Caenorhabditis elegans: one gene and its partner. The protein of the gene in region 2 interacts with the protein of the main gene of each other region in a pairwise test. Each region holds a gene or a part of one and is shown on either strand. Other genes may lie near its edges.

The links. Proteins that work in one complex are often made in the same cells at the same time.
Region 1: the proteins of hal-3 (region 2) and hal-2 interact in a two-hybrid assay, tested with the Caenorhabditis elegans proteins (one study listed by BioGRID).

Annotation. Positions count from the first base shown.
Region 1 is NC_003281.10:10,086,967-10,090,721, forward strand, and holds hal-2 (Coiled-coil domain-containing protein), read right to left. Parts: upstream 1,888-3,755; 5' UTR 1,775-1,887; intron 1,620-1,774; coding exon 1,523-1,619; intron 1,470-1,522; coding exon 1,371-1,469; intron 1,321-1,370; coding exon 1,044-1,320; intron 995-1,043; coding exon 888-994; intron 839-887; coding exon 653-838; intron 601-652; coding exon 440-600; 3' UTR 222-439; downstream 1-221. Other genes in the region: T16H12.2 (uncharacterized protein), read left to right, coding at 1-94; gtf-2H2C (General transcription factor IIH subunit 2), read right to left, coding at 1,888-2,017, 2,066-2,251, 2,303-2,456, 2,510-2,597, 2,646-2,736, 2,781-2,886, 2,936-3,041, 3,085-3,171 and 1 more.
Region 2 is NC_003280.10:9,615,184-9,618,938, forward strand, and holds hal-3 (uncharacterized protein), read right to left. Parts: upstream 1,943-3,755; 5' UTR 1,941-1,942; coding exon 1,854-1,940; intron 1,718-1,853; coding exon 1,597-1,717; intron 1,534-1,596; coding exon 1,459-1,533; intron 1,394-1,458; coding exon 1,285-1,393; intron 1,238-1,284; coding exon 1,096-1,237; intron 1,045-1,095; coding exon 820-1,044; 3' UTR 617-819; downstream 1-616. Other genes in the region: DnaJ homolog dnj-20, read right to left, coding at 3,457-3,654.

The DNA of each region.
Region 1 (3,755 bases), on a different chromosome or scaffold from region 2:
ACAGAAGAAAAAAGACTTCCAGGAGCCAGAAAACAAGCACGAGCAACTTACGAGCACAAAGGCGCCATGCCAGGAAAATTGGAGTGATTTCTAAACGACTAACTATTCTCACTCATATATCAAGCACCCAAAGTGTTTCCTTCTTCTCAGTAATTTATCATTAAAGTTTCGAGAAAGCCAACCGTAATAAACCGATTTTCAATTCATAGATAATCTTTATTAGCTATGAAACAGCTCAATGGTTATAATCAGTGGAAAAAATATTAAAAGTTTATTGAAATCAAATCGATTAAAAAACAGATTTTGATATGGAACATGATGTGCATAGAAAATGAAAACATGCGTTATCGCAGTTTGAAAGGGAATAAACAAATACAGCTTAAAATACGAATGAATTGTAGATCTGCCGGAGATTCTAATACTATTCACAGTTGAATTACTAATTGAAGAATTCGTCGAATTCGTTTTCGGTGACCACTTCTTCCGTCGATATGTCACTAGCGTCACGACTGCTTGAATCTGCCGTGCCAACAAAAAGAGACGAATTGTCACCATCAGACAAGGATTCTTCATCTGATTCATCTGACAAAGCTTGCGGGTCTGAAATTAAGATTCGATTGTTGTCAATTGAATTGAATAATTTAATACCAACCACCATAGTGTTCTCGATACCATCGTCGAACACTCATCTGCTTGGATAACACAGGAACATGCTTCAACTGATTCCCAGCATCTTGTTTATTCTTGGACTCTTCAATGGCATGAGCAATTCCTTCCGCGACCCGTTCCGTGTTATTGCTGTGACTTCTGAAATCATCGATTTTCAGATTGTGCACATCTGAAAAAAAAAACTATTAATAACGAGTCGAAATAATCAAATAAATTACCGATGGCTACACCAATCTCCCTGATGATGTCTTGTCGCAGCACATGCTCAATTCTTTTCGTTTTCAAAGAATCCATATTGTGGCTCAATTCACGAAACTTTCGCATCCTGCAACATTTAGTAATTATATTTATATTCGTTATCAACAACAGCTTACCACTCGACGTCTTTGAACAATTCTCTCCATTCCATCAACTGCTGCGTGACAAATGAAACCAACACATCCGGCAATCGATGACTCTCAACAACTGCAGCAACGTCACGGAGATCCTCGAATCGAAAGCAATCCATGACATCATCGCTGCGGTTCATAAGCTCTTTGTAGAAGGATCTCCAATATGTTTGTGACCTGAAGTAGACATCGAGAGTGTTGGATTCCTTGTGAAAACGTTTTATCTTCTTTTTCAGCGGGCAAAGTATTTGCATTTCAATCTCTGAAAAACAAAAGTATAAATTGAAAATTTCAGAAAAAATTCAAACTCACTATCCAAGTGATCGATTGCGGTTTTGGCAGATCGAAGAAACTTTTGAAACTCTCTGTCATAGTTTGTCTTCAATTTTGAGACGTGAGGAGTGTAGAAACCTGAAATATAAAGAATTAGAGATTCCGCTAAATCTTTTATTGATAAAACATACCAGAGGCGGAATGTGCCCTGTGCGTTTGCCGACCCATGGGTATCGGAGTTCCTGGCATTTGCTGCCTTTGCCGTTTTGCTTTTACCGGTGTGTTCATCTAAATTGTACAAAAATTGACCAAATGAAGCAAAAAAACAACGAAGAAAGCTATGTATTTAAGATAAAAATTAATTTTAACAGTGTAATTGGCGCCCGAATACCCGCTTGTTCAATTTTCGTTTCGAGACCCACGACTGGAAGATGGGCACGCACCTTGAAATGTAGATTTACGGAGCCGATCGATTTATTTTAGAATTTTTATAAAAAAGATGAAATAAAACCCGTCCGAAAAGTGAGAGAACGTGAGTAATTTAAAAAAAGAGATATCAGTTGCATCCGGGGCATACGTGTAGAGACTCGTGAAGAAGAGTATCACAATCGAGACAAAACACAAGCTGGCAACTACCACAGCGAAAACCTTCACCAGATAGACGAGTTTCACATGCGTAGCAGAATCTGAATATCTTAATTGTCTTATATATTTTTTTCTTAAATCTGACGTACCCTCGTGTCACTTCAATTTGCTCAAAAGCTGACAGCGGCTGAAGATGTCGAAACGCTCGAGCAAGCTGTGGAGCTGCGACAAGTGTAAGTTTGCAAACCGGGCATTCAGCTGGAATCGAGCAGTGACGTGCTCCGCACTGTGTACAAATGAATCCACGAGATGAGATTGGCTTCGTGTCAGGATGACTGAATTAGCAAAAATTAGCTTTAAAAGAAGTTCATTTAAAAAAACCTCACCAAACACAAAACGATCTTGTTGTAATCAGCTCGTGGTGTGGAAATCCAACATGAATTGCGTTGCATTCACTCGATTTTGCTGAGGACGGTGGGAGTGTATGCTTTGAGAATAAAAGTTGCAGATGGTCAGGGTCAAGAGCTACGGAATATTCTCCTGTAAATCATTATTTTGGAAAAGTTTATTTTAAAGAATAAAATAAAAATCACCTTTCGTTGCTTTAGCCATTTCCTTGCAAACGAACATTTCAGCAGACAGTCCAATAGCAGAACAACGAATATTCATTCGCTTCATTGTCTTGAAAATGTTACAGATTAGAAAAATCTACTTTTTTAGTCAAATAACCTCAATAGTGCTGTAAATATTTCCAGGATCAATTGTTGAAAGTGCTGATATAACGAGAACAACTTCTCGTGATACATGACCCGGCATTCCTCTAAAAATCAATATTTTATATTCTGAAAACGATTTTTAACTTACTTCAGGTTGGCACAAGCTAATTGAAGAGCGTTTTGAAGAGAAAAATCGCCACCACAGAAAGCTTCAGTTAGTGTGTTCAGCGATTCTTTTAGCACACGAATATTTCCTGAAATCCGTTGAAAAAAAAATTGAAAATCTCGAATATTGAGTCTAACCTGTCATCATTGTCAACCGATCTGCTTTACGATCTTTACAAGTGATCAATCCAATCTGAGCAATTGGATTTTGCTCGAAGAATCTGTCCAGGAAGGTTTGTAGAGCCTGGAAACATTCAAATACATGTCAAATAAATCGTTTTTCTAACCTTCATAACAACTACAAATCTCGATGGAGGCATTGCCTTGCTCGTCATGAATCGTGAGCAATCGATGACAATCATGACGTGGCGCATCTGAAATTAATTTGGAATTGCAATTTTGTAATTGATTTCATTTTATTGTGTTACAATTCCGAGGCGAATCCGTTCCGGTCTCTTCGTCAATCGGGCTTTTCGTTTGCTATCAGCCACGTATTTGGCAATTGATTTTTCGATAGATCCACCTTCATCTTCCACAAGGACATCATTGATGTTCAGGCCTGAAATTTAACTGATAATGGCTTATATTTCATAAATTTATTGAATAAGTGGTGATATTACTCGGAAACAAAAGTTTTGTAATTTTTGGGTCAAAAATACAGTCCAAAGTCTCGACACATCAATTTTTTGTTAAATTTTAAAATGTGTGAACCTTTAAAGAGTAATGTAATTTTAACCTTAAATAAAATATACGTTTTTTATCGAAAAGCTACGGAAAATGATTGAAATTCTTTAGCAAAAACAAGATTTTTCAATTCTAGTTTTTTGGGTATTAAAATGTTTTCCGATATTTTGAAAAATAATGTTTTTACCATTTTTTCTCCTTTAATTTTCGTTTTTCGCTGTTTAATTTTTGATTTTTTTAGACATTTTCTGAAAATATTGTTAAAATTAAATTT
Region 2 (3,755 bases):
TCAATCATTTTTTGTTTTGATTGAATATGGTAATTTCCCATAATTAACACCTGCACATCATCAGAATATACGAAAAGATTGCAATTTTTCATCATTGTAGGTGATTTCAGTGGGAAAAACTAGTTTTCATATAAAATTTCGAAAGGTCCTGGCACGACTAACCCTTTATTACCTCTCCTACCCGAAAATACGGTACCTGGTCTCGGAACGGCACATTTTTGTTAGATGCGAGTAGATGTGCGCCTTTAAAGAGTAATACAGTTTTCCTCGTGATTTGACAAAATGTATATATTTTTTGTTGTTACATTTGAATTGTAAAAATATAAATAAATATTTTTTTTTAATTGTAAAAAAACTTAAAAATCGATGAAAGCTTGAAAGCTGCGCTGAAACGAAAGTTTTAAATTACAGTACTCTTTAAAGGAGCACACCTCTCGCATTCAACAAAAAAATGTGTGTCGAGACCGTGTACCGTATTTTTGGCATAAAACTTCGCGCCTGGCCAATATGTATATTATTTCTCAATGCGAATTGTCTTAACTTTAAAAAAATACTTTTCAGAATTTTTTAAGTGTCTGCTTTCTTCAAATTTGTCGATGCTGAGAATCAAAATTTTAAAATTACTGAATACTTTATAAATAGGAACTTTCGATGAAAATAAAAATAAGATCAGTCAGTTACAGGAACCCATTGATCCTGTTCCTTTTCTGAAAACTTATAAAATACTGACACACAACGCTATAATTTATATGGCACATTAAAAACACGATACTAAAAACTTAAAGTAGATCACAGGGCAAAACGAAAAAAAAAAAAATTTTATTTTTGTGCCTGACGAATTCGATCCCTGAGCCGTGTAAGTTGTTCCAATGAGAAGTCTTTGAACAAATCTTCCAACTGTTCAACTCGAACCCTTTCCTTTTCTTCCATCATTTTCATTGTCGCGTCGTGAAGCTTTCGTTGCCGATTTCGTTCGGCAATCAGCTCTTTTTGCATTTCTTCGTTTCGTTTTTTTACATTTTCGTACGATTGGAGAGAAGCGGCCTGTAAAGTTCATATTTTGTAGTTGAAAGTTTATCTAATCTCTCCACTTACACATAACTTGCTGATTTTGCTAAATTTCAAAAATTCATCAGGCAAATTGGAATCCGCATCATCAGCGAGATATTCGTCCTCTCTCAACTCCAAAACACTCTTCACGGCCATTTGTTGGGATTTCAGAATTGCGACGCTCGAACTACAAATTTGGAAAATAAAAATATAAATTTAAAAGAAAGAACTTACTCAAGCCGGCTCAATTGGCTCTTCAACTGCTCCACGGCATTGTCAAGGTGATCGCGTCGAGCATGAAGGGACTGAATATCATACTCCAAAAGTCCACTGGCATTTTTCACTGAAAACGAATGGTTAATATATATATATATATATAATATTAATTCTTTCGCCAGTTAAACTTACACCACTCGCCCTCTTTCTGTTGAAGACGAAGCACGTCGGTTAGAATTGTGTTAGCATTGACAATACGCCGATATTCTGAATATTTTACTTTTTTAAATAAATATAAATATTGATTTCTGAGGGCAAGAAATTATAAACCTGTGCGGAACTTGGATTTCGGATCGATTCCAGCACTCCCAACGGGGCATAATCCTTGTGCCTGCAGCTCATCGCGGAAATTTCTGATTCGGTTTTCAATGTCCATTCCGTCAATTTTCCACTGAAAATAGATTGATTTTTGATAAATATTAATGAAGAGTATTTTTTAAATTGACTTGATTAATCAATCATGATTAACAATTGCGATGAAAGCATATATAATTGGAATTTTTATCTACATATTTAATACCACAAACCTCTTTCGGAAAATTGGGAGACGTTTCGAAGTTTACTGATGATTCGTTTGGAGAATCGAATACTAATTTTCTTTTTGCTGCCGCCATTTCTGAAATATTTTTTTACATGAAACAAAAGGATTACATTTAAAATTAACCCAAAATTAACTTAAAAATTAAATTTTCAAGCACGCCGTGGTTACGGTGGATTTTTGTACGCAACAAGTGTTTGCACCAATTGCATTAGATTTGACGACGAACATTTTTTGTTTGTTTTTCTTTGGCTTTGAAAGTTTATTTCAAACCTAGAATATGGCAAAACTGAATTTTCTAAACTCTCCATAACAAATTATTTTAAATACTCAGTGTATTCTTCGCACTCTTCTTATAAATTTTTGTGTTTGTTGCAATGCAATTTATCTGAAAATTAAAACCAAAAAAAAACAGTTTGAATAATATTCCCTTATTTATCTTGAAATTACAGTTAAAACCAAATTAAGGGGGAGCACAGAGGCAAGAAGGCACATCTCGGTATAGAACATTAGAAAAATTGAGCCTTTGCGGGGAAGATTTCTGAAAAATTCCAGTCAAAAATGGGAATTATACACTAGAACTTTACAGAAATCATTTAAAAAAAATTAATTTCTATCACAGATACAACAACTGAGAAAACTAGATTTTTGCGAGAAAATTGAGAAGGCCACCAAATGAGAAAATGGAATACCCAAAAAAAACAATCAATCGATAATTTCAGAGACTTTGGATTCATGGGAAAAGCAGAGATTGTGGACGGGTGAGAGAGAGAGACAGAGAGACGTAGAGAAGAAAAGTAAGAAACCTGTTAAAAGAACGAAGAAATCGAAGGGGAGAGAGAGAAAAGGGGAAAGAGAAATAGAAACTCTGACGTGGTTAACAATTTTTGGGTGACAATGAAAATACACAGTAATATTATAAATTCGTCAAAACCTGAAAGCCGAGCCCAATGAGAGCAAGGCATTGTTTCGACGAATGAATAATAAGCAATACAATTCGACAAATAATATATAAATTTCGATCCAAATGGATCATTTTTGAGTTGAAGATCAGGTTCGACTCAACACTGGATTATCTCCGTGATCGGTAGCTACAAGCTTAGATTATGATAGTGATAAGAGGTTTTTTGTGAACTCATAAGAATTTCCATAACTTCTTAAACTTATCAATGATGCAGTTTCTAGTACCGAGTGCTGGCCAAGTTTGGTTTTGGGCTTTTTGAGTGGAAAACATGATTAAATTATTTTCAGATACAAATTTTTTGAATTTAAAATTCGAAAGTTTGCCACTCAGAAAACTCAAAAAACATTGAAAAAAAATAACTGAGAAAAATAAGATTGGTTTTATAAAATGATGGACTTGATGAAGTTGAAGATGAAGACGTAGAGATCAGCGTCTGCTAGAAGAAGATTCGGGCGATTTTCGGTTTGAAGTGGTTGGGTGGGGGTGGGATTTGATCCGGAGATCGAGCACGAGTTTTCCGATGCAAAATTTCAAAAATTTTCTTGCAGATTGGAAAAAGATCTAATAGTGTGGTCACTGTGTGTGTAATTGATGTCGACTTCTAGGCTTCATCCACCCAATTTAATGTTTAGAGGCCGTTGTACGCTTTGGGCTTCACGGTGTTTTGTTGAAGAATCTCGATGATCTGCGCTTTCTGTTCGTCCGACAGCTCCGTCTTGGGGAATTCAACATCAAAAGTGACGACAAGCATACCCTTCTTGTTGTTATCTTCAAGGGATGGCATTCCTTCGTCCTTCTTACGAAGACGGGCCCCTGGCCAGGTTACCTGGAAAAATCAAGTTCAATTATAACGGTAAAGGGAATTAATTTTAGAAAAAGAATATCTATAACTTTTGGCTTTTTGAAAACAGAAAACGTGAATGTTGT